Mus musculus: one gene and its partners. The main gene of each other region encodes a partner of the protein of the gene in region 3 in a complex. Links are inferred from orthologs where the notes say so. Each region holds a gene or a part of one and is shown on either strand. Other genes may lie near its edges.

Region 1 (4,964 bases), on a different chromosome or scaffold from region 3:
ATTCGCCATGGTGGACAGCCGTTGCTCTATCCAGACACTTGAGCAGCAGCTCTCTCCTTTTCCAAAGCTCCAGCAGACCTCGAATTTCCTCTTTGCCTCTGGTGTCCTGAATGTTCCACAGACAGGGTGAGAAGCGTGTCTCCATCCTTGGTGTGTCTCTATCCTTGTCCAGAGCACACATGTTAGTTCTTCACTCTTTCTGCTGGCTGTTCTGTGATTTCTCTCTCTTCTTGATCTTTTTTCTTGTACACTTATTTATTTTGTGTGTATGTGTCTGCATACATGCACGCATGCATGCTCACGTCATGCATGTGGAGGTCAGGATAACCTGCAGAGGTCAGCATTCTCCTGCCACCCCGTGGGATCTGCCACGTTGTCATGTCTGGTGGCAAACTCCTTTACCCGCTAAGCTATCTCCTTAGCCAAAGTCTGATCTCTTACCTTTGCCACCCTCCACCGCTCACCCCTACCACCTAGGTCCAGCTTCTCCACACCTTGGCTGGCTTTTGACCTCTGGCCATTTGTCTAGATGTACTTCTGTCTTTGGTGTCTTGTTTTCAACTTGCTCTCTAGTTCTAACTTCGAGGAAGGGAATCCGATTAGCTAGTAACTCTCTGCGGATGACATATCGGTGAGTTCATTGAGCCACCTGGGGTGAGCTGTCAGGTGGGGCACAGGGACAGGCTGGTTTCTGTTCTGGGAAGGTATGGCTTGACCAGCCCACAGGTTCTTGGGACTGGGCCTTGCTCTGGAGAGGCCATCTATGTTAGAGAATGACTAACTAGCCCTCAGGGGTGGCTCTGGGAGGAACCCCCCAGGGCAGGCAGAGATGAGATCAGGATTAGAATAGCCTAGGGCAGGGGCTCTTTGCCATTGACCCGTCAAAGCATCAGGCCCTTATTCCCAGCCAAGCAGGGCAGGCACATCATTCCTGCCTTCATGGGGTGTGCTTGAGTATGGAAAAGACCCAACTCCCCAGTCTTACTCATTTCTAGCTACAGACCATCCAACCTTCAGTGTCACCCAGGCTGTCCTTTCTGAGTCTGGGAATAATCTCTGGCAGGGCCTGACTACCTCCTTTGGCCCTCTGAGTAAATGATCAGATGATTCCTGGCCTCTGTGTACCCTGTGTGTCCACCAATCTTGTCATAGCTAGTCCTGATCCTGATCTAGGTCTTCCAGCCTAGAACTTTCTCTGCTCTTTGTGAGCATCCTTGGGAAGCCACCTGGCACCGTCCTTTTGTAGGCCCAGGCTGACCCCAGCTCAGTCACCCATCTTTTTTTTTTTTTTTTTTGACTTACATGCCCCTCCTGTCCCAGGGAAGAGGCCAAGACCAAGATGGGCATGCTTCAGGAGCGCGCAGAGAAGGAGCTGGCTCAGAGTGATACGGAGGCACAGATCTTGCTGCGACAGATATCGCATCTGGAGCAGCTGCATCGATTCCTTAAGCTCAAGAACGATGAACGACAACCGGATCCCCGTGTGGTGCAAAAGGCAGAACAGCGAGGTGAGGCCAGTGCTTGCACCGAGCACCTAACTCAGGGCCACTACAGCTATCATCATCCCTAGGCCCTCAGAGAGGGTGAAGCCCCTTAGGAGAAGGTGGGGCAAAGACTAGTAGAGCTGGTGAGCCGGCAGGGCAGAGCCTGTTGGAGAGCGGTGGGGAGTGGGGGCCTTATCCAGGATGCAAACCCTCAACTTCCCCCTGTTACCCATAGACTGGGAAGTGTCAGAAGGACTCCGAAAGACCTCCCAAGAGAAGCTAGTGCTGCGTTATGAGGACACTCTGGGCAAACTGGCCCAGCTGACCGGCGAGAGCGACCCTGACCTTTTGGTGGAGAAATACCTGGAGTGTGAGTGGGCAGAGTGGACGAGAGGAGGCGGGGCTACCCAGCACCACCCAAAGCACGGCACACTTGCCTTGCCCTGGGGATCCTGCCTTGTCTCCAGTTTTCATTCTGTTGCTTGGTGTGCCTCCCTTGCATCTGCCTCTGTTTCTTTCCATATGTCTCAGACTTCCTCTCTCCATATCTGTCCCTTGACCCTCTCTGTCTGTTTCCTTGGGCCTTCCCAAATCTTTTACCAACCCTGTCTTTCTCGGTGTGTTGGTGCCCTTCTGTGGCTGTTCCTGTTTCATCTGTCTCTGTTTTTCTGCCTTTGTTTCTGTCGCCTTGCAACCCTTAGTGATCCTTCTGTTTCTAACTCCATCCCTCTGGACCCCCCCTGCACACCCCCAGTGGAGGAACGCAACTTTGCTGAGTTTAACTTCATCAATGAGCAGAACTCCGAGATACACCACCTTCAGGAGGAGATCAAAGAGGTGAGCAAGGCCCACCCTCCTTACGCCGCCCCACCTCCCAGACTCCCATACCCTCTCCCCAGGCCTAGAGCGGACCCAGCTCCAGCCCCTGTCTCTGCAGATGCAGGAAGCCTTAGTCAGTGAGCATGCCAGTCAGGATAAACAGCGCATGCAGCAAGAGCAGCAGTGCAAAATGTTGCAGCAGGATGTGGACAAGATGTGTTCTGAGTCAGAGCAGCTGGAGGGTCGCTTCCAGGTGCTCCGAGGTCAGCTGGAAAAAATCAAGACTGGTAAGTCCCGCAAGGTTCCCTCTCCCAGCCGGAAGCTCTTCCTTAGGAAGGATGCAGTGGGCTTGTGGGGAGCTGGCCATGAAGGCATTACGCGTTTGCTACTCCGTCCTTCCCTTGTCTTTTGTCAGCCCATCTGGGGTGCACCTGTCCGTCCATCCATCCATCTGTCTGTTCGTGAATGTCATGTTGAGTCATAAGGCTAAGGTACTTTTATATTCACTAGAGAATGCTAATCAGCTCTCCAGAGCAAGTCCACATTTTCTTTTTTTTTTAACTTTTTTTTTTTTTTTTTTAAGATTTATTTATTCATTATATGTCAGTACACTGTAGCTGTCTTCAGACACTCCAGAAGAGGGAGTCAGATCTCATTACGGATGGTTGTGAGCCACCATGTGGTTGCTGGGATTTGAACTCTGGACCTTTGGAAGAGCAGTTGGGTGCTCTTACCCACTGAGCCATCTCACCAGCCCCACATTTTCTTTAAAAAGAACCATTTATTTTATGTATGAGTGCCCTATTTGCATGTACACCTGCATGCCAGAAGAGGGCAGCAGATCCCATTACAGATGGCTGTGAGCCACCAAGTTATTGCTGGGAATTGAACTCAGGACCTCTGGAAGAGCAGCCAGTGCTCTTAATCTCTGAGCTATCTCCCCAGCCCCCAATTTCTCTTTTCTTTTGTTTTCTTTCTCCTTTATCTCTTTCTCTCCCTTGCTTGCTTGCTTCCTTCCTTCCTTTCTTTCTTTTTTCTTTAGTTGTTGGTTTGTTGTTGTTGTTGTTGTTGTTTTGGTTTGTTTTTTTTTTTTTTTTGAGACAGGGTCTTATTATGTAGCGCTGGCTGTCTGAACTCACTCTGTAGACCAGGCTGGCCTCAAACTCACAGGGATTGGTCTGCCTCTGCTTCCCAAGTACTGGGGTTAGAGTTGTGGGTCACAATGGCAATTTCTCCTTTTATGCCTTTGTGTGCACATATGTGTGTCTCAGATGTAGCTGTGCCCACTCCCTAGTGTCTCCCCATCACATTCTGTTATCACTACAGCACTCACTCAATGTGGTTCCCAAGCTGTCAGTCTTTACTAAGATTGTCACCCTATTGTTATCTCTAAGACATTCCTGTTTGGCTTTGTGCTCTGTGTGTGTGTGTGTGTGTGTGTGTGTGTGTACACGAGTGTGCCATGGCACATATGTGGAGGTCAGAGGGCAACTTGTAGTAGTTGGTTCTCTCCTTTCCCCATATCTTGGGATCAAATTCAAGTTGTCAGGCTTGACAGCGAGGATCTCCACCTACTGAGCCGCCTTACCAACACATATTTTATTTACTTAAATAGTTGGGGAGAAAATAGTTGAACATCTTAAAAATTAGATTTATATTTTTTATGTAAGAATGGACTGCCTACATTGTATGTATTACATCATATGCTTGTGTGATGCTTGAAGACGTCAAAAGAGGGGATTGGATCCCCTGGAACTGGAGTTACAGATGGTTGGGAACCACCATGTAAGCGCTGGGAATTGAACCTGGGTCCTCTGCAAGAGCAACAAGTGCTCTTAACTGTCCATCTCTCCAGCCGCCATTTTTTAGTATTGAATTAGATTATTTTTCTTGTTCTGAGGTATAGGGATTGTTTTGATTCTGGAAATACTTTTTTTGTATGGTTGCATACTCTCCAACTTCTTGCATGAACTGAAATTTATCTAACGCTTGATACAACGTACTCAACTCCCTTTTGTAATTAGTTCTGGCTGTCTTTGCTACCTTGTGGGTCCTTCTTTCTTCCACCCTTCCAACCTCATAACACTAGGTAAGTGAGAAAAGGAAAGAGATGCCTGGATAAAGTCAGGGGTCAGAGCGGGGCACTATCGTTAGACTACTTCCTGCTCACTGGGCGTGTTGAATTCCTTGAGGCAGGCTTCATCTTTGCCATTAGGATATCTGCTCTGCTCTTGTTTCTTCTTTGTGCATGACGACTTAACAAATTGTGATCATCGGCAACCAACCCACAACCAAGAACCCACCAACCAACCACAGCCCACCCCACCTCTCAGGGCCCTAGCATGTATAGAGCGTCTGAAAAGACCCCAGCATTCCAAATGTCACAGATCACAGAAACTATCTGCAGCTGGCCAAACCCCAGCTGGCATAGTCAGCTGCTGTGGACAGTCTGAAGCATCCCCAAATCCCATACCTGGGATGAAGACGAAAACATATTCTTATAATATTTCTATGTATTTTAAAGAAACCAAAACTCCAAAATTGTCAGTACAATCAGTGGCTTTGTGGTATAAGAAGTCTTTACCTATTTGAGGTTGCAAAGGTATTTTTTACTAGAATTTTGTTTGGCTTCTGCCTTAGGGTTTTTATTGCTGTGAGGAA
Region 2 (5,760 bases), on a different chromosome or scaffold from region 3:
AATAATCTTCTTTTAATAAGCCAAAAAGAAGATAGCCACATAAATGTAACACCACCTTTAACAATAAAAGTAATAGGAAGAACAATTACTTTTCCTTAGTATCTCTTAATATCAGTGGGCTCAGTTCCCCAATAAAAAGACATAGAATAAAAGACTGGATACATAAACAAGACTCAACATTTTGCTGCATTCAGGAAACATACCTCAGGGACAAAGACAGATACTACCTCAGAGTAAAAGGCTGGAAAACAATTTTCCAAGCAAATGGTCTGAAGAAACAAGCTGGAGTAGCCACTCTAATATCAAATAAAATCGACTTTCAATCTAAACTTATCAAAAAAGATAAGGAGTTACAATTCATACTCATCAAAGGTAAAATCTACCAAGATGAACTCTCAATTCTGAACATATATGCTCCAAATGCAAGGGCACCCACATTTATAAAAGAAACTTTGCTAAAGCCTAAAGCACACATTGCACCTCACACAATAACAGTGGGATATTTCAATGCACCAGTCTCATCAATGGACAGATCATGGAAACAGAAACTAAACAGAGACACTGTGAATGTAACAGAAGTTATGAAACAAATATCTATAGAGCATTTTATCCTAAAACTAAAGAGTACACCTTCTTCTCAGCACTTCATGGTACCTTCTCCAAAACTGACCACATAATCAGTCACAAAATAGGCCTCAACAGATACAAGAAGATTGACATAATCCCATGCATCCTATTAGATCATCACAAACTCAGGCTGGTCTTCAATAACAACAAAAAGAATAGATAGAAAGCCCACAATACATGTGGAGGCTGAAAAACACTCTACTCAATGGTAACTCGGTCAAGGAAGAAATAAAGAAAGAAATTGAAGACTTTTTAGATTTTAATGAAAATGAAGCCACAACATACCCAAACATATGGGACACAATGAAAGCAGTGCTAAGAAGAAAACTCATAGCTCTGAGTGCCTCCAAAAAGAAACTGGAGAGAGCAAACACTAGCAGCTTGAAAGCACAAATGAAAGCTGTAGAACAAAAAAGAAGCAAATACACCCAGAGGAGTAGAAGGCAGTGAATAATCAAACTCAGGGCTGAAATCAACCAAGTAGAAATAAAAAGAACTATGCAAAGAATCAACAAAACTAGAAGCTGATTCTTTGAGAAAGTCAACAAGATAGATAAACCCTTAGCCAGACTAAGTAGAGGGCATTTTCCTGGTCATGTCTAGGAATGCTATCTAGTAGCATCCTGGTTTCCTGACTCTTAAAATCTTTCTTCTCCCTCTTCTTTGATTTTTTTCTGAGTCTTAGAAATAAGACTCAGAGATTGATAGATGTGTTGTACATCTATCAATTGGGCTTAGGTACCTCATGGTCCCTTATTCTTTGTATCATGACACATTGTAGATCTTTGAAATAGTCACTAACTGTTGAAAAAAGAGACTTACTTGATGCAGAGTGAGAACTACTTATTTGTGGCTACAAGAGTAATTATTTAGAATATAGTTAGAAATTATACTGGTTTAGGAAAATGGCAATTGTAGGTTCTAGTCTAAGGTTCATGATCCTTCCAGCCATGGTTAGTTGGCTAGGTTTATAGTACCAGACATGAGGCCTCTCCTACTATGTCCAATTAAACAGCTGGTGGTTACTTGAAAGATAAAAGTGCCACCACTGTGGATCGTGTGCCTGTCCAGTCATTTTCCTGGCTCATGGGCCTTTCTCTGGCTAGGTCCACTGATTGGTTGCTCCTCTCCCTTGGCCGCTTGCACAACACTTTAAGATATAAGAGCTAGGCCTCAGGGAGGTTTCCAGGCCAGCTCCAGCTCAATTTCTAGGAATTCTGTCTCTTGAGTGTATGACATCTTCAGCAATAGGATCTCACTTTCAAGCTCTGGAAGACAAAGGGAACAGCTGAGGCCCATATTGTCTTGGGAATCTCTTGTATTCCCCTAGTCAATAACTCAACTGGAGGTTTCTCAAGCCTGGCATTGAATTTTGTATTAGACGGTGTATGGCTCTTGGAAATAGGGAAAACACCCTTACTTCATTATTTTTGAGTTGTTGTCACTGTTAGTGAAGAATTGTGTACTTATGAAGCAGACTTAATCAAATAAACATTGTGTGTGCCAGTTATTAATGTTGTGAGTATTCATTGGAAATGTTTTTACTCATTTTCAAAATAGCATATATTCTCCCAGAAATGGAAGCATTTCAGGAAAACCACAAAAGAACACAATTTCTTATCAAATTTATAAACACCTTAAATGACTGCCATTTTCTGAGAATTTTAAGATGCTCACAGTATAATAGTATATCATAGTTTTCAGTTGGGGCACTACCCCCGTGACATCAATTCTCACACATTGTATCAGATACAAATGATATAAAGGTGCTAGGCCAGAAACCTCCAGAGCTACATTAGAAGTTCACATCCACACCTTCACACAATGGAGCTGGTTTGAAGATGTGACCTCTCCATTTTCATTGTGACCAGTATCTCTTCGACCATCACATAGCTTCTAAATTCACACATCAAACAATACTGCCCTCATCTCAATGATCCACACACTGCTTCTCAGCTCAAGAACAGCTGTTTTTCTGTCTGAGTACAATGCTCTCATGTGTGGTCACCTGCAAGATCTCCTTTACCTATGGACCTGATTGGGAATTGGAAATTGAGCATCTAAAACTGGGAACAGATTCTTTACCGTCTTAGATTTGCTGAGCAATATACTTTTCAATGAAATGCCTCTACGGAAGACAGTGTCTGTACCACCGCAAGTCTCTTTCTTAAAAGTGTTCAGGATGCATGCACGACTGTTTTCTTTATGGATCTCTTATCACACTTCCAGAGCTTAGACCTCAGAGCGTTTTGTTTTCTTTTGTTGTTTTTGTTTTTTCCTCTCTAGAAAGAGCCAGAAAGTAAGTAAAGGCTCTGCTGCTTTCTTGATTCTGGTGTTTTTCTGGGGCATCCTTTTCAACCTGTCTAAAGCTGAAGCCACATGCCTCCCAGATACACACCATATTGCTTCTCTAACTTAAAAGCAAATAAAGAGATCTTTGAATTTAGTGAATGTCTATGAGGGAGCTCGGGCAGCTTGGAACTTGTCCCAGTTATAAAAGGGTAGGATGGATGCCTCCCAAGGAGTTGGAACTCCACAAAGGGATTCTCTTTCCGATCCTCTTGAGGAGGAGCGTGGAGGGGCCATTACTGGTGGAAGCAGGAAGTAGAGACTGGGTAGAAAGAGATCTGGCCCAGAAGTCATAGGAACTCTTGCATTCAGTTCTTACTTACAGTGCTTGCAATTTTTAGTTAAGGTGTCCGTCAACTTCTGCAGCTTCTTTCTGTTCATGATGGGTGTTAATAATATTAGATCTTAGAGTGTCATCTGGAGCAGAGTGCCAGGACGCTCCGGCTCCGGAGCCCCAGGCTGAGGGAGCTTGGTGCAGCCAGCTTGGCTCTGCGCATTTGCGCATTTGCGCATTTGCGGCCCTAACAGACAGTGTGGCCATGGCAACGCCTCAGGTGAAAGCGGCCTCTGTACATAGAGCAGCCATGGCAACGGCTGGGTGGGACACTGATTGGCTCCTGTCAGGGGGCCTCTTGGTCAGCTCAGTAAAGCCTGCCAGTCCTGACTGCCCAGCACAGACACTGTGCCTGCATTTAGTCCCAGTTGCAGCGTTTCAGCCTGACACTTTGCAGACTGTATTGTTTGCCATGTTGGAAATTTCTATTTTCACTTGTCACACCATCATTTCTGTTCACAGCCCCTCAAGACTACATCATAATCAGAAGAGTAAGGTGTGCAAGCTGGATAGATGTTTTGTATGATGAGCACAAGAGCGATTCAGGTTTTCAAGATCTGTGGGGATGCTGGAGGGAAATAGGTGTGTAATTAAAGCAATTATCAGAAGGGAATCTGAACAATTACGGTTTGAACTGTGTTACTCAGAAAGTAGATCTCTCTGTGTCTCTGTCTCTCTCTGTCTCTCTCTCTGTCTCTCCCCCCTCCTTCTTTGGAGTGGGAGTTTTCAGTCAAATTTGCAAAAGGCCAATGTCATATTTTAAGTTCGTTAATTAAAGATACATACTCTTTTTGTTGTTTTGTATAAAATAGAGTTTATTTAGGGCATAAGGAGGGGAGTTGCGAGGGTTGTAGAGGCAGAGAAAGGCAGAGAGAGAGAGAGAGAGAGAGAGAGAGAGAGAGAGAGAGAGAGAGAAGAGAGGAAGGAGGAGGAGAAGGAAGAGGAGGAGGGGAGGAGGAGGAGGAGGAAGAGGAGAAAGAGAGGAGTAGAGATTGGCCATGAGCACATGGAGAGAGAGGGGGAAGGGAATGGGGAGAAAGAGGGTAAGGGACAAGAGGACAGAGCAGAAGCAAGAAGGCAAGAGAGAGAAAGGAGGGGGCAAGCAGCCCCTTTTATAGTGAGTCAGGCACACCTGGCTGTTGCCAGGTAACTATGGGGCGGAGCCTAGATAAAATGCTAACAGTAACAACTTTCCAAACTACATAGACTGACATAACAGCCCAGAAGTTGCCATGGAGACAAATTGGAGAATTTTTCCATGATGCGGAATCCTTCAAGTGGTCAGTTTGCAGCCACACCTAGTTCTTCTATTGAAAACCCTTCCCTAGTCTCTTGAAATCACTCAAATTTATAATTGTCTAATTTTATAATTTTGAAATGGTAATAAGACATCAGCCACACAGAATATAACCTACTGAGAGTCCTTTCCATCAGTATAATTTTCTGCAAATCCATCCAGGAAATTTTGCCTTTTTATTGCTGAATAGTATTCCATGATTTATATGTGCCATATTCTGTTTATACACCCATGCACTGAAGACCTTCAGCCTTCAGTTTTAAGCTCTTAACAGGGAAGATACTATAGACCATTTCTCATATGAATGAGAGTTAAGTTCTCTGGAATGAGCACCTAGGATTGCTAGTACATATGGCAGCTGTATGATTGCAATTTAGAAATTGTGAGATTGCTTTCCAGAGAGTCTGAACATTGTGAGGCCACAGCCTAGTGTCTCCTCATCGCTGTCTGTACTTGGTGCCCTCACTGTTTTTGTTTGTTCAGCTTTTAAAGCAAACACAACCATTCTAATGGGTATGTGTTGACATCATGAGTTTTAACTTGCATCCTTAGCTGATCAAGTAGGGCTGTCTTCACCGTTATGGCATCTTCCATGTATTCTGTCTGCTCAAATATTCACTCACATCTTGGGCAAGATTGGATTTTTTTTTAAATCTATATGGTTTTGCATTTTAAGTCCATAAATTAAATTCATGATGAATTTTGAGTTGGCTATTGCAGAGGTAGGAGATTTAAGTCAGGGATCATTTGTTGCCTGATTATATCCAGAACGTCCACAGCTGTTGCTGACAATTCCATTGAGCTTCTTCTGAATGGATTCCTTCCACTAATTGTTACATTTTAGTTACGGTGTTTGTCACCTCACAGTTATTCACTCAGTCCTTTCTATTTCTTTGGGGAAAGGGGAGGAAAGGGTACATTTGTAGTCTATCATTGAAGAAAGTCAGGACAGGAACTCAAGCAGGGCAGGAACCTGGAGGCAGGAGCTTGTGCAGAAGTCATGGATGGGTATTGCTTACTGGCTAATTCCTCATGGTTTGCTCAGACTGCATTCTTTCTTTTTCCTGTTTCTTTGTCGAGACTGTTCAGAGGGTTTCATCTGACATGGTGGAGCCCTTGTGGCTGATGCAGCAGTGGGAACTTTGGGTTGCTA
Region 3 (4,964 bases):
GCTGCTTCTCCTCCTTCAACTTCGCCAACGCCAGTTCATTGTCCTTCTTGAGATTCTCCAACTGTGTGAAGGTCTCATCCTGGGCCAGGAACCTGCGCACTACCGCCTGCGGACCACACATCCCTGGTCAGAGCCTGGAACAAGGGAGGCCCCGAGGACACTATGGTCCTCTCTCTGTCACACAACAATGTATGAGGATAGTGTGGGTCAGTCTCCCGACTACTCCAAGGCTGCACTTTGCCCCATGCCCTTTCCCACCTATATTTGAGTCAGCTAAAATCTGCATGCGGAAGGCAGCACAGCAGTGAATATTCTCTATTCAAAAATGACTGTGCCAGCAAGTTCAGATCGGGCAAAGACATTGTGTCTCTAGAGCTCCATCAGCCCTCCCAGCCGTTTGCATATGCATGTGCCAAGGTGCACATGTGGATTTCAGAAAGCGCTCACTTTCCAGCTTGGGGCCCAGGGATGGCACTCAGGTTGCCAGGCTTGGGCAATCATGTTTACCCATCAAGCCATCTCACCGGCTCTAGACCCATTTCTGCAAAGGGACCTTGGACAGCTGATCACAAAGGTCAGAGTCCTGGCCCTCCTGGTGATTAACCCCTTTGAGGAGCAGCAGAGAACCTAAACTGGAGAAACTGACTGGGGTGGGTTGGGGGCAGGGGGTGTGTGCTGTTCTGAAGCAGGACAGGCACCAGAGACACACAAGGTCTTGGAAAGCAAAGCCGCTCTTACCAAAAGTAGGGCACAGAACAGGCCCTGATTCCACCATGGTCTGAGAAACAGAACCTGACAAATAAAACACCCAGGACTGACATACCAAAGAAGTCAGCTCAGGGGAGGAGTGGAAGTAAGCGAGGGCTAATGTGGACAGCTCTACGGGAGCTGGAGCTGGAACAGACAGGAGAGGACACCTTTAAGCAGAGAGGAGCCTTTGCTTGCCTGGTGCAAGCCCGAGGCACTCACATGCGATTCAGCTACTCCAGTGGCATCCTTGACCTTGCCAAACATCACTTCCATCTGGTACATGCTCCAGCGCTGCCTCAGCTCCTCCTCCCTGTGGCGCTGGTGGTCCTGTATTGTATCTTCTGACTGCAGCAATACGTGGTCTCGGTGGGTCTGCTTTGAGGGTGGGGGACAGTCAAGGGCACCGTCAAAATCAGCTCTAGATAAGGCCTTGGGGCAGAGGCCAGGAGAGGAGCTCGCTTAGCTTAGATGGTGGGGAACAGGACAAAGGCTTGGGACTAGATACAGGCGTCCAGGTAGGAGTCAGATAGGTGGTTTCAGAACCAGGGTAAGAAGGCAGGATGGTAGAAGGGAGTAGTCTCCGGAGGGGATGGGCTAGACCCCCCACTCAGATGTAGAACAAAAGGGCCTAAATTAAATGGGAAGGATGAGTATAGGGTCAGATAGTCCAGGGCAGATCTGGAGGCCACGGCCTATCCCAGGAAAGAGGCTGAGGTGAGATTGTGAGAGGAATCATTGGGTCAAATGGGGGCAGAGTAAGGGAGGGGTTGGGGTTAGGACAACTGGCATGGTTGGGAAGTCTCTAGGTCAGGATGTGTGTACCAGGTGAGGGCTGGGACCCTCTGGTTTGAGCTGGCAAAGCCCTACACCCTTAGATGTGCACACCTTGCGCTCCATACGCTCTGTCTGAAGTTTCTTCTCTTCTGCCCGCTTCTTGCAGTCAGTTATGTAATGCTCGCGCTTCTTGCGATCTCTGATCGCAGACTCCTCCAGATACTGCAGCTGGTTCTAGAGGACAGACAGGGCACCTGATATCTATCCAGGCTATAAGAGGAGCAGCGGGCACAACAGCAATGTGATTGCCAGGAAAGACTTAAAGAGAATTAGATTCTGACTAGGGTCCCTTGAGCCCTTGGTATTCCAGAACTATTTTCTCTTAATTGAAACACTCCCCAGTAGAGGAAGGAGGAGGCTTAAGGCTCAGGAAGTTCATGAAACTTACAATGCTCAAGAAACAAGATTCACGTACTGGGCAGTGGTGGTACACGCCTTTAATCCCAGCACTTGGGAGGCAGAGGCAGGCAGATTTCTGAGTTCGAGGCCGCTGAGTTTCTTCTCTGAAGAAACTTCAGAGTGAGTTCCAGGACAGCCAGGGCTATACAGAGAAACCCTGTCTCGAAACCACCCCCCGCCAAAAGAAAGAAGAAACAAGATTCATAAGGCTCCTCCCCATGTTACAATGAATGGGCGTGGTGGTGTGAATAGGTTTGGCCCCCACAGGCTCATGTGTTTGACTGCTTGGCACTGTTATGAGGTGTGGTTTTGTTGGAATAGGTGTGGCCTTGTTGGATCAAGTGTGTCACTGTGGGGTGGGCTTTGACACCCTCCTTCTAGCTGCCTGAGGATGCCAGTCTTCTCCTGGTTGCCATCAGGACAAGATGTAGAAATCTCAGCTTTTCTTCCAGCACCGTGCCAGCCTGGATGCTGCCATGCTCCTGCCTTGATGATAATGGCCTGAACCTCTGCACCTTTAGGCCAGCCCTGATTAAGTGTCCTTCAGAAGAGTTGCCTTGGTCATGGTGTCGGTTCACAGCAATGGAAACCCTAAGTAAGACTAAGGTGACACTGATGAACGGAACCCTAGAGATGCATGTGGCTTTCATGCCAGTAGTGCCTCAGTCATGTTGTGCGAGGAAGCCAACAAACCTAGTGCTAGCCAAGTTGGTCTTTGTGGAGTGGTCCCTGGCTGCCCCGGCCTGGAACTCACTGAGCTCCTGCCTTGGCCTCCAAACACTGAGATTAAAAGCATGCATCTACCCACCTGTCGGTGGGCAGTGTTTTATGTGGGACTAGGAAATACCACCTTCCCAGGAAAAGTCATATAAAACCATGGCGTCTGGGAAGGATCCCCCCCCACCGTCCGGGGAGGCAGGCTAGTACCTTGGCAATGTCCCGGGCATTTATAGCCTCTTGATTCACTACTTTCAGCTCTTGAACCTCATGTTTGGTGTTCATCACCTCAGCCTCCATGGAATCTAGCCGGCTCTCCAAGTTGAGACTCTCCTCCTGGCATGTGGAGAGAGGCAAGGCTTGTGACTGCTGTCCCTGGTCAGGTCCACCCCGTCACCTACCTCTCTCTACAAAGTGTTCCCACCTGGAGGTAAGACTTGAGCTGCAGGTACACATTAGTGATGTGCTCTGCCTCCTCTGCCTTCATCCGGGCCTTCTCCAGCCGATTCTCCAGGTTGCGCATGGTCTAGGGGATAGCAGGGTTAAGTTCCTCCTGCCACCCCTCGTGCCTCCCCAAGACCCCCCGCAGACCTCAGTAGCCCCACCTTGGCAGCCTCCATGTTGCTGTCTTGGACCTCTGCCATCTCCAGCTGGCGCAGGCTGTGCTGCAGCCTCAGGTCCTCCAGCCGTTTCTGCCGCAGTATTACCTGGTGTCGCAAGGCATTCAGCTGGTTCATCTTCTCCCTCAACTGGTGCTCCAGGTGCTCCAGGGCCTGCTGCAGGGGATGAGGGAGAGCAGATTCTCAGCTCACTCGGGATCCCAAGTCCATGAGTAGCTGTTTTCTTGGAAGCCCTTGTCTCTCCGGACTCCTACCTGACTTCCAGAACCCTTGGCATCCAATGCTTTTCTTTTTTCTAACGGAGTGAGTGAGTGAGCGTGTGTGTGTGTGTGTGTGTGTGTGTGTGTGTGTGTGTGTGCATGCCCATAGGAAAATTTGAGCCTTGCGCAGTTGGGCAGAAGCTATACCTGTGAGCTAGTCCCATTTCTCTTTTACTTTTTATTTTTAAAAGACATGGTCTTATGTAGTCTAGTCTAGGCTGGCTTTGAACTCTGTATGCAGCAAGAGATGAACTTCTGATTTTTCTACATCCACCTCCTGGGTGTTGGGATCATATTAGTTTTGTTTGTTTTGTTTTTTGTTTTTCAAGACAGGGTTTTTCTGTGTAGCCCTGGCTGTCCTGGAACTCACTCTTTAGACCAGGCTAGGCTCAAGCTCACAGAGATCTGCCTCCAGAGTGCTGAGATTAAGGGCAAATGCCACCATGCCTGACTTTAAATTATTTTTGTGTGTGTATGTGTGTGTGTGTGTGTGTGTGTGTATGTGTGTGTGTTCTGTCTGCATATATACCTTTATGCCAGAAGAGGGCATCAAATTCCACTAAAGATGGTTCTGAGCCACCATGTGGTTGCTGGGAATTGAACTCAGGAGTTCTGGAAGAATAGCCAGTGTTCTTACCCACTGAACCGTCTCTCTAGCTCCCAGACTCAGATTTTAGGTTCTGAAAATAGGACTCAGGTTCTCACCCTTGCACAGCAAACACAAAGTCACTGACTGAGCCCCTCCCCAGGTTCCTAGTTCAACTCCCATAACATTACTTATATTTTTACTTCATTTTTAATTTTATGTGTAATGGTGTTTTGTCTGCCTGTGTATCTGTGCCAGGATGCCAGAAGAGGGCATTGGATTCCCTGCAGCTGGAGTTACGGACAGTTGTAAGCAGCCACGTGGGTGCTGGCACTGAAACCCAGGTCCTCTGTGCTCCACACCACTGAGCCATTGCTCCAGCTCTGGGGTTTTTGTTTGTTCTGTTTTTTAAGGATCTTTTTTCTTTTTTGTTTTCTTTTCCTTTCCCTTTCTTCTCTCTCTCTCCCTCTCCCTCTCCCTCTCCCTCCCCCTCCCCCTCCCCCTCCCCCCTCCCCCTCCCCCTCTCCCTCTCCCTCTCTCTCTCATAAAGATTAGCTGATGCAGTACTGGAATTGGCATGTGGCCACAGGGTGAGTCTCACTGCACAAGAGGTGGGTTCCTGGCATCACCTATACTCAGGCTGCCAAACTCCACTGCAGTGCCAGGACCTCATCTGGCCACACCAACTGGTAACCTCAACACAAATATACTGGGCTGCTGTGCCTGTGTCCCAGGGGACAACACCCATATGCAGCTCCTGCCTGGCTCCCTGGAGAGGGGCGTAGCTGAAGGAAGACC
Region 4 (5,674 bases), on a different chromosome or scaffold from region 3:
TTGTGTGCAAGGCCTAGAATGCAGAGTTTTATGAGTGTTGGAGCAAGTTCTCTCTACCTTTGAGTTATACCTAGTCCGAGTCTTCTCTTTTTCTCCTTCCCTCCTTCCCTCTCTGTCTTTCTGGTTTGTTGGAGTTTCGTTGTTGTTTGGTGTGGAGATATAATTTCAAACTGTAGCCTTGACTGGCCTGGAGCTTGCTATGTAGATAGACCAAGTTGGTCTCAAGTACTCTGCCAAGCTCAGGTATGTACCACCCATGCCCACCCTCCTCTTATTTCTTCACTTCTTCAGTCTTTGGAGTAGCCGGGATTATGGATGTATGCTGTCACACCTGGCTTGAGCCACCATCTCCACCATCTTATTCTTCCTCCTCCTCCCCTCCCTCCTCCTCCCCTCCCTCCTCCTCCTCCTCCTTCTTCATGTAGTAAACTGAGAATTATCACTATTTTGGGGAACTAAGACACAGATGTGAGGAAGACAGAAGCCATCTGGAGGCCCTAGTGTAAGGATGGGCACTTCTCTCACACACACACACACCTCCCCCACCATGTCCCGAAATCTTCCTTCCTTCCTTTCTTTTTTTAAAAATTAATTTCGTGTGCGTGTTGGCCCATGTGGTTCTATGCATGCAACAGTGTGCATGTACAGCTCAGAGAACAACTTATAAGACTTGGTTCAATTTCAGCCAATCAGACTTGGCCAAAAGTACCTTTCTCCTCTGTGCCATCTTTGTCTGTATATTTCTTGAGACAGAGCCTCACATAATCCACGATGGCCTCAAACACATTATGTAGCTGAGGCTGCCCCTGTACTCCTGATCTTCTTGCCTTAGCTCCCCTAAATGCTAGGACGACAAGCAGAGTCATCACATCCAGCTATGTCCTGTCCCCTTCGGACTGAGATTGTTACAGCTGTGGTGAATGTCTGCCCTGGTCCAGGGGTAACCAAGACAGAAGAGAACATTGCCCCAAGGGAAGGTGGCTCTGCACTAGAAACTGGTGCCAGGAAAGACAGACGTGATCCCCTAGGCGTCAGACCAAGTCTGCCCTCTCTAAGACCTTCCTTCTTTTCTAGGAAGAGGAAGCAGCTGCTATCTTTCCTAGAATGGGAGGGCTTCCTAACCTGCCCTTGGGGCCATCTTTACTTTCTGTCTCAGCTTCTCTAGGACCAGATTGCTCCATGAGAGAGGGGAACTGGCGGAACTCCTAACTCCATATGCCCATCAGGTCGTCATTTCTCTTAGAGGCTGTGACTAGGGAAAGAGGTGAAAGATTGGGGGATGGTAGAGAAGCTGGACTTGAGGGAAGTCTTGGGATTGGTTAGTGGGCTGACACTCCGTTTAAGGGTTTGCTTTAATTTGGTTCTTTGGAAACAGTTTTGCCAGTTTAGCTCAGGCGTGTCTTGAACTCACTATGTAGCCCTGGCCAGCCCCAAACTCAAAATCCTCCTGTCTCAGCACCCTGAATATTGGGATTTACAAGTACCACCATGCCCCGATGCTATGCCAAGTAGAGCTGGGTGTGGTGGTGCACGCCTTCAGTTCTCAGGTGTGTACTGAGGAGGCAGAGGCGGGAGGATCTCTGAGTTCGAAATAACCCAGTCTACAGAGCAAATTCCAGGATGGTCAGGGCTATACAGAGAAGTCCCGTCTTGAGAAAGGAAGGAAGAAAGAAGGAAGGAAGAAAGGAAGGAAGGAAGGAAGGAAGGAAGGAAGGAAGGAAGGAAGGAAGGAAGGAGGCTATGGGCTCCTCATGTTACTCAGAAGAAGAGCAACTGGCAAGCATGTGGGGTCGGAGCACCAGCACCCCAAAAGAAAAGTATAGTTTCTAGCAAAGGAAATGGTTATTCTGTTCTGGAGGCAGGATCTCCAGTATTCCACGCTGGCCCTGACCTTGCTAAGTAGCCATAGATGATCTTAAATCTCTGTTCCTTCTCTCTCTCTACCTGCCAGCTGCTGGGACTGAAAGTGTGGGACAACACACTCAAAAGCAGGATCAAACCAGGGCTTCATGCACACAAGGCAAACACTCTACCCAGCTAAGCACTGTCTCCAGCCCTGCAAAGGAAAAGGTTATCAGAACACCTTGCAGTCTGGAGGTTGGCACCCCAGGCAACTGGAGTCTGAATGCTTGGCTCACAGGATCCTTCCTCCACTACTCCAGCTAGTTCAGTGCAGTGACCTTGGGCATGTTACCTAACTTTTATATTCACTTCCTCATATATACAAAGAAAACAATAGTAACCCCTTCCGCTCCCCGACATCCTAGACGGACACACACTGCTTAGAGCAGTGAGTCTAATATCCTAAAACGACTCCCAATCCCTGTAGGGTACAATGGTGTAATTTTCAATAAGGTTACTACAGTACGCCCTAACTTCACCGACAACTTTCTTACAGGCAAGCCTGTGCCAAAGACTTCTACATTTAGCTTCTTGGGCAATCTGTGGCTAAGGATGGGAGACTGAATTTATCAAGAGAAAGGTAATCATGAAACATTTAATGATTGGTCACATTATGTCTCCAACTGGCAGGCATTAGTGAGAAACTATAAGAGAAAATGGCAAAAGTCAGGGTTTATGTGTGACAGTGGCATATCATGGGAACCAGGAGTATGATATCCACAAAATGGACCTCAGGGCTGCTGGTGATGAAAAAAAAATGGTAATTGGGTGGGACTGGAGATTTTTTAGCAGCTAAGAACACTAACTGACTGACTGCCTGCTCTTCCAGAGGACCCAGGTTCAAGTCCCAGCACCTACATGGCAGCTCACACCCCTCAGTCCATTTCCACACTCTAAGAGGGAAGTATGCATGTGGTCCATGCATGCTGGCAAAACACCCATCACATACAAATATTTTTCTTTAAGTGGTGAAGTGTGTGTGTGTGTGTGGTGGGGGGTGGTATCGTGTTGATTTATTGGTTAACAGCACTTACTATTCCTGTAGAGGACCCAGATCTGGATCCCAGCACCCATTTGGTGCTACATAACTGCCTGTAACTCCAGTTCCAAGGGATCCAGTTCCCTCTTCTGGCTTCCAAAAGTACCAGGCATGCATGTGGTATACATACACACAAATCTTTCATCAACAACACAATGGTGGTGGGTCCAGGTAGCAAGCTGGGGTTCCATCATTCCAGAGGCCAACTGCAAGATAGGGAGTTGGCCTCCAGAGGACATAAGGAGGGCACCTTCCTTTCAAATCATAAGTTGGGAATGAGGGTGCACATTGGAAGTCATCTCTCAGGAAGTAGGGGTAGTTCGAGACCACCCTGGTCTACAGAACAAGTGTCTATCTCAAAAGAGGAGCGGAGGCGGGGAGGAGGTTGAGAGAGGAAAGAAGAGAAAAAAAGAAGAGGGGAGAGGAGAAGGAAGGGGAAGGGAAAGAAGAAGGGGAGGAGGAAGAGAGGGAAAGGGAGGAGGGGAAAAGAGGAAGGCAACACAGTAATAGGATCAAAGCGCAACTCACGTTGGTAAAGCTTTGAATGGCCTTAGTGAACTCCCCGCACAGATAAAGCCTCTCCCCCTCTGCCATGTAAGAGGGAAAAGTGCTTCTTAAGATATCACCGTCCGACATGGTCACCCTACTTTTGGAAATTCTGAAGCAGATTCAGAAAGGAAAAGAGGCTGGAGAATCGCCGGCTTGTTTTGGGACAGCCCGGTCTCTTAGCAACCTAGAGAGATAGTCTAACTTCCGGTCCCTCCCCTCCCCTCCCCTGGCGGTGTTAGGCCTCCGGGTGAGCCCGCCCAGCGTGCTCATGCGCCTGTGTCGCCACGCTGCGCACACCGGTCAGACAAGTGCTGAGCGCGTGGCCGGCGGCTGCAGGACGCTGGCGCTCCAGAGTGATCGCTGTTTGCTTGTAGGTTGCTTCTCCCCTCCAGTTGCCACGTGGAAAGCCTCGCAGACAAAGCAAGCCAAGAAAATGAGAATTGGAGGCAAAATTCCAAGTAGGATTAAGGCTTAAGCACTCCAGGTCCCATTAGGAAGGAGAGAGAATTTTGGAACCGGAGTCAGAGGGCTTGGGCAGCCTTCTCTCTTGTCACTTCTTAGCTGCGTGATCCTTGACCAAGCACATTAGGGAACTGAAAAGTACGCGTTCTACCTGCCAAATGAACAGGAAAATAATAGAGCCCTCAGGGACGTGAGGATTTGCATGAGAATGCAATGGAAAGTGTGATGGGTTTAGCTTTCAATGTCACATAGTTATGGAACACTTGCTAATAGCAAGTCTAAACTAAGGTCTAGCCTGACATAATTCTGCAGCCATTCAGGAGTAATGGCTGTGGGGATAACTCAGTTGGTAAAGCGCATGCTAAGCATGCAGCTCTCTGTTTCAGTTCCCCCAACCCTGGTACAGCCCAGTGTGATGGCACCATCTTGTATTAGCCAGCCCTGGAGAGACAGAAAGACATGCATTCCTGAAGTGTCCCCTGGCATCTACATTCACATGTGCACAAGCACACACATGTTCACACACACACACACACACACACACACCACACAGACACAGCAGTACCTCTAAGTACCCATAATATCTTAGATAGCTAGCTCAGTTAACTGCCTCAACTATATTGGTTTTTTAAAACAGTCTTGGAGTTATACATGATTTTGAGCCACCACTTGGGTGCTAGGAGTTAAACCTGGGTCTTCTGCAAGAGCACCAGTGCTCTTAATCCCTGAGCCATCTCTCCAGCCCAGAATCTTGTCTTAAACTGTCTTTCCAGAATTCAGCTGAGCCAGGCTTGGTGGCCTGGGTCTTTAATTTTCTTACTCCAGAGACAGAGGTAGGAGGTTGGTTGTGAGATACAGGCTTTCTGGTCTCCATAACAAGTTCCAGGCCAGCCCTGGCTACACAGCGAGTTTCAAACACAAAAACAGAAACAGGATCCAGCTTAATGGGCATGTATTAGGAACAGAATCCAGCACACAGTAGGAGCAAAGCAAACCGTTTTCAGTCTCTAAAAAAGATGTCCTTACTGGCAAATGTATAAACACAAATGAGCACAACATCTGTAATTCTAGCACTTGAGAGACTGAAGCAGGATTGCCACAAGTTCAAGGCAGCCTCAGTTACATAGTGAGGTGAAGGCCAGCCCAAGTAACAGGGGAGTCTCTGTCTCAAGCCACCATAACTGATTACTTGGGAAAATGTGGTAAAGTCAGAGACTTTCATTAGTGCCAATACCCTTGTTGGTTGTTGATGTTGTTGTTCTTTTGTTTTGTTTTGTTTTGTTTTTCGAGACAGGGTTTCTCTGTGTAGCCCTGGCTGTCCTGGAACTCACTCTGTAGACCAGGCTGATCTCCAACTCAGAAATCTGCCTGCCTCTGTCTCCCAAGTGCTGGGATTAAAGACAAATGCCACCAATGCCCGACTATTGTAGTTATTTTTTAAGATTTATTTATTTTATGTATTTTAAGTACACTATAGCTGTCTTCAGACACACCAGAAGAGGGCATCAGATCTCATTACAGATGGTTGTGAGCCACCATGTGGTTGCTGGGATTTGAACTCAGGACCTTCGGAAGAGCAGTCAGTGCTCTTATCTGCTGAGCCATCTCTCCAGCCCTGTTGTAGTTTTTAAAAGTTTTTCAAGATTACCATTGGGGGAAATGACAAAGGAATACCTAAGCCAGGTATGGTTATGGTGGTGTACACAGACAGTCCCAGGACAG

The links.
Region 1: the proteins of Ccdc151 (region 3) and Ccdc114 are in contact, whole or in part, in a cryo-EM structure (PDB 9CPB), measured with the Bos taurus proteins. The link is inferred for Mus musculus from reciprocal best matches to the Homo sapiens genes ODAD3 and ODAD1. Residues at the interface, in NP_001095517.1 of Bos taurus: Gln69, Leu73, Lys76, Ile77, Leu79, Leu80, Asp83, Arg84, Phe87, Tyr88, Thr91, Asn94, Ile95, Asn98, Gln99, Thr101, Ile102, Leu105, Arg106, Glu108, Thr109, Leu112, Gln113, Gln115, Leu116, Leu119, Gly122, Asp123, Val126, Ala129; in XP_024834988.1 of Bos taurus: Leu31, Gln32, Gln34, Cys35, Met38, Glu41, Arg42, Tyr45, Val49, Arg52, Ile53, Gln56, Leu57, Glu59, Ile60, Leu63, Glu64, Val66, Arg67, Leu70, Arg71, Gln73, Ile74, Ala77, Gln78, Asp86, Arg89, Leu90, Ser92, Met93.
Region 2: Ccdc151 (region 3) and Efcab1 share a complex: the UniProt entries of both Homo sapiens proteins name them as parts of the outer dynein arm-docking complex. The link is inferred for Mus musculus from reciprocal best matches to the Homo sapiens genes ODAD3 and CLXN.
Region 4: Ccdc151 (region 3) and Ttc25 share a complex: the UniProt entries of both Homo sapiens proteins name them as parts of the outer dynein arm-docking complex. The link is inferred for Mus musculus from reciprocal best matches to the Homo sapiens genes ODAD3 and ODAD4.

What each region holds. Positions count from the first base shown.
Region 1 is NC_000073.6:45,940,340-45,945,303, forward strand, and holds part of Ccdc114 (coiled-coil domain-containing protein 114), read left to right. Parts: intron 1-1,320; coding exon 1,321-1,508; intron 1,509-1,719; coding exon 1,720-1,854; coding exon of another isoform or gene 1,855-2,238; coding exon 2,239-2,321; intron 2,322-2,421; coding exon 2,422-2,590; intron 2,591-4,964. UniProt on the Homo sapiens protein: Component of the outer dynein arm-docking complex (ODA-DC) that mediates outer dynein arms (ODA) binding onto the doublet microtubule. Involved in mediating assembly of both ODAs and their axonemal docking complex onto ciliary microtubules.
Region 2 is NC_000082.6:14,904,352-14,910,111, reverse strand, and holds the start of Efcab1 (EF-hand calcium-binding domain-containing protein 1), read right to left. Parts: upstream 3,467-5,760; 5' UTR 3,358-3,466; coding exon 3,300-3,357; intron 1-3,299. UniProt on the Homo sapiens protein: Component of the outer dynein arm-docking complex (ODA-DC) that mediates outer dynein arms (ODA) binding onto the doublet microtubule. Seems to regulate the assembly of both ODAs and their axonemal docking complex onto ciliary microtubules.
Region 3 is NC_000075.6:21,991,903-21,996,866, forward strand, and holds part of Ccdc151 (coiled-coil domain-containing protein 151), read right to left. Parts: intron 3,477-4,964; coding exon 3,306-3,476; intron 3,227-3,305; coding exon 3,125-3,226; intron 3,037-3,124; coding exon 2,911-3,036; intron 1,759-2,910; coding exon 1,636-1,758; intron 1,126-1,635; coding exon of another isoform or gene 1,123-1,125; coding exon 970-1,122; intron 107-969; coding exon 1-106. UniProt on the Homo sapiens protein: Component of the outer dynein arm-docking complex (ODA-DC) that mediates outer dynein arms (ODA) binding onto the doublet microtubule. Involved in mediating assembly of both ODAs and their axonemal docking complex onto ciliary microtubules.
Region 4 is NC_000077.6:100,543,704-100,549,377, reverse strand, and holds the start of Ttc25 (tetratricopeptide repeat protein 25), read right to left. Parts: upstream 3,771-5,674; 5' UTR 3,578-3,770; coding exon 3,470-3,577; intron 1-3,469. UniProt on the Homo sapiens protein: Component of the outer dynein arm-docking complex (ODA-DC) that mediates outer dynein arms (ODA) binding onto the doublet microtubule. Plays an essential role for the assembly of ODA-DC and for the docking of ODA in ciliary axoneme.